Linked DNA regions of Drosophila melanogaster. The gene in region 1 interacts genetically with each later gene. Each region holds a gene or a part of one and is shown in the gene's direction. Other genes may lie near its edges. The genes, in order: Atg4a, Atg8a and Dcp-1.

Evidence for each region.
Region 2: of Atg4a (region 1) and Atg8a, changing one suppresses a phenotype caused by changing the other (phenotypic suppression), as found in Drosophila melanogaster (one study listed by BioGRID).
Region 3: of Atg4a (region 1) and Dcp-1, changing one suppresses a phenotype caused by changing the other (phenotypic suppression), as found in Drosophila melanogaster (one study listed by BioGRID).

What each region holds. Positions count from the first base shown.
Region 1 is NT_033779.5:1,079,253-1,083,883, forward strand, and holds Atg4a (Autophagy-related 4a), read left to right. Parts: upstream 1-1,658; 5' UTR 1,659-1,991; coding exon 1,992-2,175; intron 2,176-2,325; coding exon 2,326-2,668; intron 2,669-2,724; coding exon 2,725-2,804; intron 2,805-2,867; coding exon 2,868-3,413; intron 3,414-3,536; coding exon 3,537-3,619; 3' UTR 3,620-4,126; downstream 4,127-4,631. Other genes in the region: ast (asteroid), read left to right, coding at 1-1,458.
Region 2 is NC_004354.4:10,764,358-10,770,288, reverse strand, and holds Atg8a (Autophagy-related 8a), read left to right. Parts: upstream 1-1,950; 5' UTR 1,951-2,218; coding exon 2,219-2,308; intron 2,309-2,982; exon of another isoform or gene 2,983-3,121; coding exon of another isoform or gene 3,122-3,136; intron 3,137-3,632; exon of another isoform or gene 3,633-3,911; coding exon of another isoform or gene 3,912-3,959; intron 3,960-4,486; coding exon 4,487-4,684; intron 4,685-4,753; coding exon 4,754-4,831; 3' UTR 4,832-5,411; downstream 5,412-5,931. Other genes in the region: BTBD9 (BTB (POZ) domain containing 9), read right to left, coding at 1-234, 303-941, 996-1,568.
Region 3 is NT_033778.4:23,549,425-23,554,146, forward strand, and holds Dcp-1 (death caspase-1), read left to right. Parts: upstream 1-1,888; 5' UTR 1,889-2,298; coding exon 2,299-2,450; intron 2,451-2,876; coding exon 2,877-3,439; intron 3,440-3,499; coding exon 3,500-3,756; 3' UTR 3,757-4,123; downstream 4,124-4,722. Other genes in the region: pita, read right to left, coding at 1-467, 524-1,612. UniProt on the Drosophila melanogaster protein: Involved in the activation cascade of caspases responsible for apoptosis execution. Proteolytically cleaves poly(ADP-ribose) polymerase (PARP). Loss of zygotic DCP-1 function causes larval lethality and melanotic tumors.

The sequences.
Region 1 (4,631 bases):
GAGGAATGCAGCGACGATGAACATTCGTCTAGCTCCGATGAAAAATTTTCAGATGTCGAAGAAGGCGAGGATCAGGAGGAAGCTGATAACCAAGATGAGGAGCAGCAGGAAGAAAATCAAGACGTTGATTCGGGTGATGAAGAAGAAGAGGAGGCGGATGAAGGCCTCGAGCTGGAAGTGGAAGACAAAACGCTACTCTTCCCACAATGGTTTCTGGACAAACTATATCCCGCGCACCTGCCCCGCAGCTTCGTGGACCTTATGCACCTGCGCAAGTACATCAACAACCCACAGATCGAGCACTTTCCCTTCCACGACTCCAATGAAGTGGCCTTACCCATCCTGAACTACGTGTTCGCTCTTCTCCATCACGTAGAGTGTGAGAAAATTGAGCTACCATTAGAAGTGGATATGGATATAGAGGGTTCGACAGTCCCCTATCTCACCTACCTCACCAGAGCTCTGCGAGTGACGAACGTGAGGTATTTCAAGATGCCCATTGAAAAGAAGCCTGCCTATCCGTTTGATCCTCTTTCGCCGGATGCTAGGCATTTAAGAGCTGTATTCGAAGACAATGCTCCCAATGCGGATACGGAGAAGTTGTTCAGCAAGCTCGACCAGTTGCCGGAGGACCTGAGGCTGTACTTTCTGGCCATTATCTACTGGTTACATCGCTCGGAGCACTGTGATTTGCTGCATCTTCACTCGCTGATCCTTAGTTTGGTTGTCCTACGAACCATAGATGTTACAATCCCTGCTGAACGAGAGGTGAAAACCTTCCTTAAAAGATTTGGCAAGACATTGAAAGCAGAGCGAGCAGTGAGGGATAAGGAAGCTGCCGAGGGAATTAAGCGCGGCATCAAACCTGCTCTGCTAGAGCTTTCTGTTCCAGATCGGATGGCTCATGTACCCAAATCGGACTGCTATTTAACTCAGGAACGCCTACTGCCGCACTTCCATATGCAGGAGATCTTCAAAAAGAAGTTTGACTTGTACTCCACCACGGTTATCCACGCATTTGCTGAATTTCAGGCTGTGGTTTACCAACTCAATGGGCTAAATTCTCTTTTGGATTTTCCACTTTTGAGTCCGAGGATGAACCAGCTTTATTGCGGCGCCTTTCTCTACAACATGTATGATGTACTGAGGAATCGTGCCGATGTCCGCTACCATGTTGAGAACTTCCTGCTGCCCGACTCCAAGTTGATGTTCGATTTCTATTGCTACTTGTACGACTGGTGCGCGGAGTTTATACCAACTTGGAAGCGATTGGAGGTGGATCCGACGGCGGCAAAGGCCCTGCAGAAGAAGCGATTGAAGAAGCAGCGTCAGGCGGCTAGGAAAGTGGAGCTAAGGGAGGCCATCGCGGATCCCAATGCGGAAATGGTCGAGGATGCCGATCCAGAAAACGACTTCTTCGATCTGAACAACAAATTCTGCGCACTCAAGGTAGCGTAGCTAGTTTGAAGTCCCGCACGTGCAATTTTGAAGTTTTTACATTGTTACAAATCTATACTTTGCGTAAAATAAGAAAAAAATTAAATATTTTTTAAAAAACTTCATTTTTGAATGCATTTCATTAACAGTTTGGAAAAATACTGTTATTTCCTATGTTATGGTCATGTTAAGTGCAAGGTTCGGTATTTTGGCAAAGTAAAATACCTTATCAGTTGCGGTCATACTAACAGCTACGTCACTGCGTTGTAATCAACAAAAAAGAAAAATAAATCAAACTAAACCAGCCGCAGACTGATCAAATGCTGGTTATCGCATAGTTTGTAATCAGCGCCCGTCACTGCCAACAACAAATGAAACCCCTGTGACCTCGGGCCAGAAGCAGGAGCATTGCCGTTGCTGCCAGCGAAAACACAGGCCAAAACAAAGGCCCACCCGAAAAACAGAACGTCATTCGAAGGCAATTATCGTATAGACGAGCAGCGGAGGCCCTGGTGTCCACCCCCTTCTCCTTCTGCCAGCGCACCGGGCAGTAGATGCTGGTTGGACTCAGCGACCAGCTAGCGCGGATCATGGAGAGCGTCTTCGAGGCGTACTTGGGCCCAGACAGCGTCCTCGCTAGTGCAGTTGGCCAGGCGGTGGGCAGCGGAGAGCCGGAGGACATTCCCCGAAGAAACACCGACGTCTGGGTCCTGGGAAAGAAGTACAACGCCATACAGGGTAAGATGAGACCTTATTTAATGCTGTCATATGGGTACAAATCTAGCATATTGGTCAGCATGAGTCATAAGGGGTTTCCCAAACCTTTTTTCGATTATCATCGATGGATACCAAACTGAAATCCATAATCAACACCCTATCCCTTTTCAGAGCTAGAGCTCATCCGACGGGACATTCAGTCGCGCCTGTGGTGCACATATCGCCATGGATTTTCGCCGTTGGGAGAAGTCCAGCTCACCACGGACAAGGGCTGGGGCTGCATGCTGCGCTGTGGTCAGATGGTTCTCGCCCAGGCCCTGATCGACTTACATTTGGGACGCGACTGGTTCTGGACGCCGGACTGCCGTGATGCCACCTACCTCAAGATCGTGAACCGTTTTGAAGACGTAAGGAATAGCTTCTACTCCATACACCAGATTGCCCAGATGGGAGAGTCCCAGAACAAAGCGGTCGGCGAGTGGCTGGGACCGAATACAGTAGCCCAGATTCTCAAGTAAGACCATTGGCCTAACATGGTGGATAAGTGGTATAATCAATTGCTGATTTCAGAAAACTAGTGCGCTTCGATGACTGGAGCTCCCTGGCGATTCACGTGGCCATGGATAGCACAGTGGTATTGGATGACGTATGTAAGTGTGGAAAATGGCCTAAATAGCCCGACTATTTGCCTAACAACATTGTCCACTTTGTAGATGCGTCGTGCCGAGAAGGAGGCTCGTGGAAGCCACTGCTGCTCATAATCCCCCTGCGCCTGGGCATCACAGACATTAACCCGCTTTACGTGCCTGCCTTAAAGCGCTGCCTTGAACTAGACAGCAGTTGTGGCATGATCGGAGGTCGACCAAACCAGGCTCTGTACTTCCTGGGCTATGTGGACGATGAGGTTCTCTACCTAGATCCTCATACCACGCAGAGAACGGGCGCCGTGGCACAGAAAACTGCTGCGGCAGAACAGGACTACGACGAGACCTACCATCAAAAGCATGCTGCTCGCCTGAACTTCTCCGCCATGGACCCCTCGCTGGCGGTTTGTTTCCTCTGCAAGACCAGTGATAGTTTCGAGTCCCTGTTAACCAAGTTGAAGGAGGAGGTGCTCAGCCTCTGCTCGCCTGCGCTCTTCGAGATCAGTCAAACCCGCGCGGTCGATTGGGACACCACGGAGGACATCGACTGGCCCACCATGCCGGACATCGATTGGCCTGCGGGCACCTCGGATTCGGACTCTTTTGCCATAGTTGGTAAGTTGGTTCTGTTGAAGCTGACCATTAAGACCATTATTTATAACTTCACAGCTTGTAATCTGAATCAACAGTCCGAAATTTCACTCCGATTTCACTCAATAAATTCACTCCATTTTCCAGAAGAGAGCGGCAGGGACAGCGACGCCGGCTGTAGCGGCGCCATTGGCAGCGGCAAAAAGCCCAGTGAGAGAGCCGTCATTTGAGAGGTCGCCGGCGGAGCGCCTGCGCCTGCGCCGCACCAGAGCAGATGAAGCCCAGCCAGGCGAAAGTGGAGCACCCAATGAGGAGAAAGAGAGTGGGCCGGGAGGTCGAGCCCCTGCGGATGCTGCGAATGCAATAAACTAAGGCTAAAGTGCATAATTAGACGAGTGGTTGAGATTTAGATTTTAGTATGTTTACGATTTGTACGAATGCGGTTCTTAGCGATTCATAATGCTGCTTTATTGTACGCGATTGACTCCACGGGAGACAATTTGGCAAAACACACACACACAGAGCGACACTTACGGACACATACCGCTTTTTGATGATCAATTAAACATTTTTATGCAACGTTGTACATTGAAGACTCGATGAGATCGAGGCAATCGCCTTAGCCCGGTGTGTATTTATATGTTTGTAATCGTAATATTCATTTTCCTTTCGTATATTCGTCTGTATATGCTCAAAAATGGACCAACAACTAAATACATAATACTTGGACTATATGTATATATCTATATATGTATATATATATGTATGTATGTATATATCAACTTTGCCATCCGCCTCTGGACTCAACGGCTGGACAAACTCAAGCTACACGAACCAAGGAACTTTCTCGAATGAGTAACCAGGATGAGGATGCAGGAATCTACGTTAACAACAAACACGCGGCTACGCAGCTGGCGAATTGACACTAATTGGGCTTGACCTTTGGCCTTCCGGGCTGATTCCCGCAGAAAGGCAAACTGGGATTTGCAGATCAGAGTATCCAACTGTCTCCTACTATCGGAAGATAATCCTTTCTATTCATATTCAAGCGACTTATGTTTCTTGCGCTTCGAATGCATTTAACTTTTGCAATTCATCCATCCTAATTCTCGATATTCTGGTTAAATTCTATGTTGTATTCACTATAAAATTTTCTAATCTCAATTTGTTGGTTCAAAATCAAGCACTGGATATTTAAAGCTGATCGAAACGGACTAGCCTCTAGTAGGAAAGGTTTTTGAG
Region 2 (5,931 bases), on another chromosome or scaffold:
GCCCAAACGGACGACGATCTCGCCGCTGCCCAATTGGTGGCAAGTATATCCCGAGTCCCAGTCGTAGCGCACATAATCGCCGTTGATAAGCGCGTTGCGGGTGCGACTCACGCCGTCCGTCACAATGGCGCTCATCTCTACGGTGGCCACGTTCGTCTTGGGCGCCACAAAATGGTTAACTAAACGCGGCACCTTGGCCGTGTGCATGGCTTCCAGACCCACAACATGGAATACCTATATATTAATGGAAAGGGAAAAAGTTAAAGAATGGGGAAAGTTTGAAGAGATCACTGCTGACTTACCCGGTTTACAGTGTTCTGGGTGCCCACCAGTCGAATGAATCTGACGGGTCGTGCTTCGAAGTATAAGTATTGCCAGGAGCGGCAGTGGTAGTCGCTGTAGTCGACCACGCGATCCCAATGCTGCTGGTCGCCGGACACCTCAACGTAGTAGGAGTACGCCCGGCTGTCTCTGTCCCAGAGCAGCATGCGAATGTGATTGATCATGCAGAACGTGCCCAATTCGACCACAATGCCCGCATCTTTGCTGTCCGTAATGCAGTGGCGCGTATACCCGTTCTCCATGTCATAGGTGGTCACATCTCCATCCAGCAGCGCGTCGCGACACTCTCCCTGGATGCAGCGCGACAAAAACGTCTCCGCGGCCACGTTTTCCTCCGGCCAGAGCGCCGCCCTGTAGGGCAGCGCCTTTGAAGTGCTGCGCTCGTCGATGGCGTCGAGAATCTTGTCGGGATCCAGGATGCCCGAGGGACGCACCACCTGCAGCAGATGCTCGAGGTTCATCAGTGGCAGGCGGACATAACTAACCACGGACTTGAAGTCCACGTTGCTATTGAAGCGGCTCCACTTCCACACGGCCAAAAAGATCTGCACCTCGGGGGCGAAGAAGCAGTCACGCCGTAGTACCTCCTCCAGCGATTCCTGTAAGCATTACATACTCTTAGTGCCAACTTTACCAATTGGTTGTGAACTTACCTTGGATAGCGTATTGAAGCTGTTGTGCAGCAGCAGGTCGCCGGCATTGCGATCCATGAACATTAGGCAAACCTCGGTGAGTTCCTCTAGATTGTATAGACGCGCCGCATCAAGAATCATGCAGACATTGTCCAAGGCCAGATACTGGCGTAAATAATTCGATATGGCCATCTCCAGATCCTGGAAACCATACTGATTGGCCATGCCCAGCACATCGATGGTGGAATCCTCGTCCAATGTGGACAGCAGCAGTGTGCCCGAGTAAATGTAGCGCAGCAGCACCTTGAACGCTTCCAGCGGCACCTCAAGCGGTATTTGGCGCTGTGTGGTCTCCGCCATGCCGCCGTACAGCAGCGCCCGGAAGTATTCGCTGCGTGCCGCGAGTATGACGCGGTGGGCGGGTATGCGCTCCTCCTCGACGATGAACTCCACGTCCGCGTACTGTTCGTTCATGCAGAGGCGCGCCATGTCCGCTGAGAAGCGATCGCCCAGATCGACCACGTCGGTGTAGTCCTGCTCCATGGCGCCCTTCTTGCCGCCGCCGGACATCTTATGGTGTCCCTGGCTGCTCATCCTTCTCTTTTTTGTTTTTCTTCCGTGCGATGTGTATTTATGTGTGTAAGCAGCCAGAGGGAACAGTTGACAATTAACGTTTCGTCTCGCCTGCTGCGTCAATCCATCGATGACAGTTAGTGATATCGATAATATCGATGGCACAATAGGGATTCTTCTATTGCGGCGAAAAACTGTTATATGTGCAGTGTGACCGTAGGTGTGTATACCATTTAACGCGTACAACAACCATATCGACAGCCGTCTGCTAGCGAGCACATGAACCACATGGTTGCATCCGATAACATTTAGCGAATACATGAACCAAATGGTGTCTGTCTAATATGCCACCACTATTAGCGCGTTTCGGGTTGGTGTCTCTGCGCGCTCACTGGTCACACACGGTCAGTCTAGCCACAGCAGTTAGCGAGTGCAGTCACCACAGTGCGAGTGCTTATCGATAAAACCAGCAAGTCATCGATTTTTAGACCGAAGCGCTCTGTCAACTGCTGCGCACGGTCACTCTACACAAGTATTTCGTACCGTTTGTACGAGAAAACAGAGAAGAGAAAAACACAAGCTCAGCAACGCATCGATATTCGGCACAGTCCCAAAAGCAAACGAAGTGATAGAAGCTGCGTTTCTTAGCCAATTACCTCTTCATTGCAATCATGAAGTTCCAATACAAGGAGGAGCACGCCTTCGAGAAGCGTCGCGCCGAGGGCGACAAGATCCGTCGCAAATATCCAGACCGTGTGCCCGTAAGTACTCAAAAATATATATATAAATGCATATAGGTATAAAGAGACGTGTGTGTGTGTGTATATATGCGTGCGAGTGTGTGTGTATGTGCGAGCTTCTGTGTATGCGTTTGTTTTGCGTCGTTTTTTTTCTCGCTCTTTTTTTTTGTGTTTGCACCGAAGAAAATCAATACTGCGCATATTGGGTATTTCGATTGTTATTACAATATTATTGCACTGGCACATCAGGTGGCTGGGGAAATTTGTGCGATGGGTATTGCATAAAGTGCATTTTGCATTACTGGTGGGGGGAACAGGCGACAAGCTCTCAAAAGAAATTCAAACGAAAATTCTGCCCCCTGCATACACACATACGCACGCATACACGCGCACACAGGCACACAGATGTCGACAGGAAAAAACAAAAGCAAAAAAAGGGAGAGAACAAAGCAGCCGTTTCACTTGCTCAGCTGTTGTGATGTTGTTGTTTTCAGTGCTAGATTTCATCTGTGCCACCTCTTCCTCTCCTCTATCCCACCCTCTGGCTACACAGCAAGAAAATCGCATATATCTATCTGTCATCATAATTTAGTTACAAGCAAAGTTTTGACCACCCCGTTTTTTTTCTGTGTGTGCACCAACCAGTTGTTTTCGATTTTAATTTCGTTTGTTTGTTGGCAAAACGAGCGAGTACTGCGCATAAAAAAAGTCACTAATACTCACTAATACACACTTATACTAGCGCTGCTTGTTTTGTTTTTCGCAAATACACAAAGTGCGACTGGAATTAGTCATAGATGCGCTGCTGAACACAAAACAAAAATAATAAAAAAAATGGAAAACAGAAAGGTTGAAAAAAACAAAAACATCTTCTGCTTCTTCTTTGTTGTTTTTCTGCTATGTATGTATGCATTTCACCACGTTATCAGCGAAAACTCCTTTCACAAAAACCAAAACAAAACCAAACGAAACGAAACGACAAACTGCTGAAGGTGCCCCAATCGCAGCGAAAAGTGCAGTTCTTGTTTTCGATTTTGATTCGGACTGCATATGCATATGTATATATGTACAAATATGTACATATGTGCGCTATATATGCACCCCCGAAATATTATTGCCAGTGTTATTTTAGTGTTTTTTTTTTTTGGCAAGTGCAGCAGTGCCAAATCACAAATCACATAACAGCTGAGCGAGGGGCAAGGCCAGCTGGTCGCTCGGACCACCAGCATATCCATATATATCCGAATTCTATAGAATATACTTAGTACATACATACGTACTAGCACATCTCATACTTGTGCCTTGAGTTCGGCCAATGACGATAACGAATTTCGATAGAACACTAGTGTATAGAGGGGTGGCATTCGCGACAAGCAGTTTTTGCCCATTTCGTATTCACTATGTTGGCACCCGCTTCCTGTTCCAAAAAAAAAAAATTGGACAAACCAGTTTGCCAATAATTTGGCTAAGGCTAACTAATGAGCCCCTGGCTAGAACGGATCGTCTAGTCTAGGCCAGCTAGCAATTATTCCAGAGCCAAGGAAATGCAGTAGATTCGTTACAAAGCTCACTTCAATGACCAACTTGGTCGTCTTGGTGATCAATTTGGCTAAAATGCTGTAAAATGTGTATGTGTTTTTGCATAATGAACAAAAAAAAACAGATGATACAGGTGAACTTGAATGTAAACAGGTGCTAGAAATCTTAATTATATTACAAAACATATACCCCTTGAAAAATGCATTGAATTTGGCTTAAAAATAATATGTGAACAAAAACACACGTGTGTGTAATTACACATTCCAACTTACGAAATTCCAAAATGCATTACGAAATTACTGACTGAAATTACGAAATTACTCATTTTCCTGTCTAAATATAATATGAGTCAGGCCAATAACAATCAGGTATAGTTGTTCGTAAACAAATTAGTTTTCAATTAATATTAAGGTATTTTGTACACTAGATAGCAAGCATCAGAATTCATAAGACTATAGTTTATGTTTTCGGCATTATCATATTCCAAGGTAGCACGTATTCGAGCACACTTGCTTCCAGCAATGCAAATGCCATTTGTAGCCAAATATGTGAGCCTTATTGGGCACGTAATCAGGTGCGAAATGTGCGCACATTAACATGCACAAGTAGCCCGCAACAACAACTCACCTCCTGTATTTCTTCTTCTATTTAAACCCAAAGGTCATCGTCGAGAAGGCTCCCAAGGCGCGCATCGGTGATTTGGACAAGAAGAAGTACCTGGTGCCTTCCGACCTGACCGTCGGTCAGTTCTACTTCCTCATTCGCAAGCGCATCCACCTGCGTCCCGAGGATGCCCTCTTCTTCTTTGTGAACAACGTCATTCCACCAACATCGGCTACCATGGGCTCCCTGTACCAGGTAATTACCACAATGCCCATTATTATTAGCCTTGCAATCGAATCACATACGTTCGATGTATTTTTATAGGAACATCACGAGGAGGACTATTTCCTGTACATTGCCTACTCCGATGAGAATGTTTACGGCATGGCCAAAATTAACTAACTTTGCTCCGGTCGGGATGCATCGGAATGAAGCCCCCCCCCTATACAGAAATCTATATATAAATAAAATATATTTTGTGTTTAGCATGCAAGCTTACAATATGGACGGCGAGTTAGCTAAACGAATTGAGGAAAACCGCAGGAAATGCCACATGAAAAGAACTTGAAATTGATCTGATACGCAGGGCAACAAAAAAAATCCACAAAAACCGAAAACTACAAAAACAATTGTTATGTGAACATTATTTTATATATATACATTTTCCAAACGCGTTAGTATTTCAATTAAACTCTGCTTTGTGTCCTACCCATTAACGAAACAACCAACCAACCAACTTTCCCCACAAAAAACAGATCTATTCACACCCTTTCTGGGCCATTTAATTTCCATTGCTGTAATTGATCCGTGCGAATGCTTTGTACTTTACTTTGTTACTTTGCTAATATTTCAATGAATTCACTATTTTTTTTTTTATTCACGATGCAACAAAATTCTGTGCATATTTAGTGTGTATGGTTACGAATAGGACTCTCTCGGTTAAGTGTACGGTAATTAATCTATTATTAAATAAACAAAAACCACAAAAATACACATGCAAAGGGTGTTTGTTTATTTGGATTGTTCTTCGTTTTCAGTTTGCAATCACGTATATCACGCTTAGATGATTCAGCGATAAGTGACAGGAAGAAGTTATTTTATACTGCTTTTTCTTTTGTTCACCGAACAATGAGTCCTTATCTTTTAAAAATGAAATGAGCTTTAGCAATGAGTGGGTGTTTTTTTTTATTCTTTGCTATTAGTAACAAAAGCATTTATTTATTTTAAATTGAAGGCGTAAAAGGTAGTACTTATGATACCATTCGCAACGCAAAAGTTTAAGTGTGCAAATTAAATTGAAAAGAAATCACTTTGTTTATTGTTTGCTTATCTTATCGCAGCAAAGGCACTTTGCTAGCCATTCAAAATTGCCGCCCACAAACGTTTTTATGGGCAGCACTGTCATCAAAACACAGCTGGTCACACCATCAAGTGCTGCAAAGCAATATCTCAAGTCAGCCATAAGGAGAGCATGTGCTAAAAAGGGACAGCTCCACACAATA
Region 3 (4,722 bases), on another chromosome or scaffold:
AACTCGTTCTGGTACGGCTCCATTTCCACCACATGATCGTCCTCGATGTGGCGCTGCAGGCATTTCTGCGTCAAGAAGATGTGGTCACAGAACTCGCAGGCATGGCGCTCGCTCTGCTTGTGCTGGTCCATGTGGCTCTCGACACTGTCGATATCTTCGATCTGCTTGCGACACATGGGACATTTCAGGCTGGCGGTGGCATGAATGAGCGCATGATCCAGTAGGTCGTTATAGTTGCTGTACGACACCTTGCACTCACTGCACACGAACGAGGCGTCGGAAGTCTGCGTGTGCGTGCGCAGGTGGCGCGAGAGATGATGCGACAGCATGTAGGACTTGTGGCAGTACTTGCAGGGATAGGCTCTCTTCCCGGCGTGGGCAACCAGGTGGCGGGCCAGCTTGGAAGCGGTGGAAAAGCTTCTCTCGCAATGCTGACAGGGGAAGGGAAGATTGGTGGAGTGGACTGTCTGAAAGTGGACATAATCGTTAGCCGGGGCAATCCCAAATATGCTTGTCAACCCACCTCATGACGCTCCAATCCCTGCTTGAAGGCAAACGACTTGGTGCAGACACCGCATTGGAACGGACGCTTCTTCTGATGTCGCTCGGCGTGCTTCTCCATCTCCTGGCGCGAAAGGAAGGGCTTCTCGCAGTACACGCAGATGAACTTGGGTACGTCCGTGTGGGTGCGCTCGTGGCGATGGAGCAATGCCTTCCGTGTGAAGGCTTTCGAGCAGATGGCGCACTTGAATGGCCGCTCGCCGGTGTGCACAAAGTTGTGCTTGGCCAGGTCGTACTTGGAGAAGAAGCTCTTCTCGCACAGGAGACACTGGAAGCTGCGCGAGCGAGTGTGATTCAGCCGATGGATCTCGAGCAGCTGCTGCAGCGGAAAGGAGCGTTCGCAATCGGGACAGGGGAACACATCGGTGGCCACCTTCTCGGCGTTCTTGGTCGGATCATCTTGATCGTCCAATGGCAGATCCGAGTCCAGAACCTCTGTCACTATGGCCACATTGCCACTATCATCTCGCTTGACTTTGGGTGTGGCCAGGCGCGGTTCCACCGGAGCGGCGGGTCCCTTGTTCAAGATCCTAATCGAGGACTTGTTCAGCACCTTCGGCTTGACGGGTGATGCCTTCTGGGGGATATCGGGGAACTCCTTCTCTAGCTCACTGGCCATATCCTCCAGCATGCTCTGCACATCGTCCATGGACAGCTCCTGGTTGTTATCCACCTTCAGCTCATAGGCGTGCGAACGACGTGGCACTGGAGAGGAACCGGCTACCGTCCTGGGGGTCACCATGGCGCTCTCCAGCACCTGGACGTCCTCGATGATCACCTGACTACTGGATTTGGCCATTGTGTTCAGCAGCTTTTTGGGCGTTTCGCTTGGCTCGGCTGTCTTTGCTGGCACGACCAACAACTTCTTGGAAGCCACCATCGTCATGGGCGCACGGGGCTTCTCCAGCGGCGATGGCCAGTTACCCGTGAGCGGATACTGGCGCAGGAGGGTCTCCGCCCGCTTGCACATCTGCTTGAAGCGGTAGCAGTGCTCGAAGAGGAGGCGGCACTCCAGACAGATGTGCCCCGGCATTCCGTCGCCGGCGTAGACCTGTTTTTAATGTTAGATTAGATAAATGTGTGAGTGACTAGGAAGCTACATTTATTCGGGGAAGTCCGTGCTTAAGCCAAATAATAAGGTAATATTCGTGGAACACCCCTATATGTTTTTCGCTACATAATAAATTAAACGCCATAAATGTCTCTTTCCCTTAAAATGAACAATATAATGTTAGAGTTTAAATTTAAACAAAGGCGCCGAGGACCAGAACACCCTCTACAAATTAATCGATGGCCACCAATCGATGATTAGTGCTATCGACGAGCGGCCATCGCCGCTTGGCGGCAAGTGCATACACACGACTACATGCAATCGCAGTTTGTTTTCGCCGCTCAGAGCACGCTTAACCTCCGTTAATTGATTGATTAAACACGTCCGACTGTGAGCCATAAAAGGACATTCGCTCGATCGAAAGCCGACAAAAGCTGGCTGAGAAGCGCAAAACAGCTGCGCTGCGCAAAGTTTGGCCAACGCAGAGCAATAGAAAACAGAAGCAGTGTCAGAATAAAACAAGAATCAGACCAAAAAGGGCGCAACAACTGCGGAGAGAGAAAAGGAAGGAAAGAGCAGCGCGTGAGCGAGGGAGGAGCAGGAGGGAGCGAACAAAAGGCAAGAGGAAACACAAGGAGAAACGCAAACAATCAAAACAAGAACTTAAGCAAGAAAAGGGGCGCAAGATGACCGACGAGTGCGTAACCAGAAACTACGGAGTAGGCATTCGCAGCCCAAATGGATCGGAAAATCGGGGCAGCTTTATAATGGCTGATAATACCGATGCCAAGGGCTGTACGCCGGAGTCTCTTGTTGTTGGTGGTGCAACTGCAGCGAGGTGAGTCCATGTGCCTCGCTCTCTCCCTCTCCCATCTCTCTCTTTATGTTTCTGTGTTTTGTTATCAATGCAAGTACTGGCATAACTGCTATATCCTAGTTTCAAATGCAGCATATAAAGCTCTTTTTTTTTTATTTATTCCATTTTCATTCCACAATCTATTATTTTTATATTATTTATACTGTCTATTGCCAACATTTAAAATCAATGTGTCAATCTGTCTTTATAATGTTGTTAAAATGGCTGAAGTCACAAAGTTTGAAAGCACTTGACTTTAATTCTATTGTTCTATTTAGTCTTATTCACAAATATATTTGAAAATAATTACATAAATAAATACCCAATCATCGATTATTTCGCCGATTACCTTATCTTATCATGCTGCTTCCCAAATGGCTATTATAATTCTGATTTCTTTTTCCCCAGCCCCTTGCCGGCCAACAAGTTTGTGGCTCGAATGCCCGTGGAACGATATGCAAGCGAATACAACATGAGTCACAAGCACCGCGGAGTTGCGCTGATCTTCAACCACGAATTCTTCGACATACCCTCGCTGAAGAGCCGCACCGGAACAAATGTCGATGCCCAAGAGCTGAAAAAGGCCTTTGAAAACCTGGGATTCGCGGTGTCCGTGCACAAGGACTGCAAGTTGAGGGACATCCTGAAGCACGTGGGGAAGGCCGCCGAGTTGGACCACACGGACAACGACTGCCTTGCGGTGGCCATACTCTCGCACGGGGAGCACGGCTACCTGTACGCCAAGGATACGCAGTACAAGCTGGACAACATCTGGCACTACTTCACTGCCACCTTCTGCCCCTCGCTGGCGGGCAAGCCGAAGCTGTTCTTCATCCAAGCCTGCCAGGGCGATCGCTTGGACGGAGGCATCACTCTGGAGAAGGGCGTTACCGAGACGGACGGGGAGTCCTCGACGAGCTACAAGATACCCATACACGCCGACTTTCTCTTCTCCTACTCGACCATTCCGGGTAAGGAATATGATTAGGTAACTATTTTAGTGAATTTCACTAGCAATCTCGTCCTGTTAGGCTACTTCTCCTGGCGCAACATCAACAATGGCTCCTGGTACATGCAATCGCTGATCCGCGAGCTGAACGCCAATGGCAAAAAGTACGACCTGCTCACCCTGCTTACATTCGTTAACCAGCGCGTAGCCCTAGACTTTGAGTCGAACGTGCCCGCCACACCGATGATGGATCGCCAGAAGCAAATACCGTGCCTCACCTCCATGCTGACGCGCATACTGCGCTTCGGCGACAAGCCGAACGGCAATAAGGCTGGCTAGGAAGAGATCTCCCTTCGAAGAAGAACTTTCAACAGAGGTTGTACAACCATCGCCCGCAATCATTCACGTTGGATTCCAATTCACTTCAAGTTTAGTTTTAGCTGACGCGTGCGATTATCCCGATGGATATTGAAGCACCCGACTCCCTTTCATTCATTCCCCTGCCTTTCCCATGCCCATTTCGGCCTTATCATTGACGAAATTCGTTACCCATTTACCCACTAGATGACTTCCGTATGCATAAGCGAGACCTTGCCAATAGAAAACCCACAAATTTGAGATAAGATAATACAATGAAGATTTATACATACATACATACTTTTATGTACACGCAAACATTTATATTTGATATGAATAAAAATGAATTAAAAACATAGCAAGGTATCTCCCCAATTGAACGTAGATGGGTAATTTCGATCTAAGCAACTTTGTTTGAAGACAGGAGCTGTCTGGGCCAGATTGAGTACGTTGATATGGGAAATAAAAGATAACAATGAAGACTTGGTTGGCTGAATCAGTGAAATTGTACGAAACTTTAGTGGAATTCAAATTAGCATTATTAAGAGTGATTAATTAAGATTTTTCTCACTCTAATTTTATTAATTTCCTAAATTTTATATTTATTTCCTAATTTTATAATTTAGGAAATTAATAAAATTAACCAAATGATGATTTTTGCGTAAATATAAGTATCGAAGGAACTATTAATGCATTTAAATATGATCTCGATTTGAATTTAGCGCCAAAAACAACTGACAGCTGTCAGGGCGATCAGCTGTTGACGCACTAGTGTGCGTGTGGCGCAGTACAGTTGCCCCAAATCGCAGAAATTTTCATTTTTCTTTGCACAAGAGGAAAAAGGGAAAGCCCAATGATTAGCCAACTAATTGGGCTGTAACCTGGTCGCACTTTTCAAGGACATTCGGCTGGGAAAGGGAAGCGGGGCAGTTTGGAGCGGGGAAACTT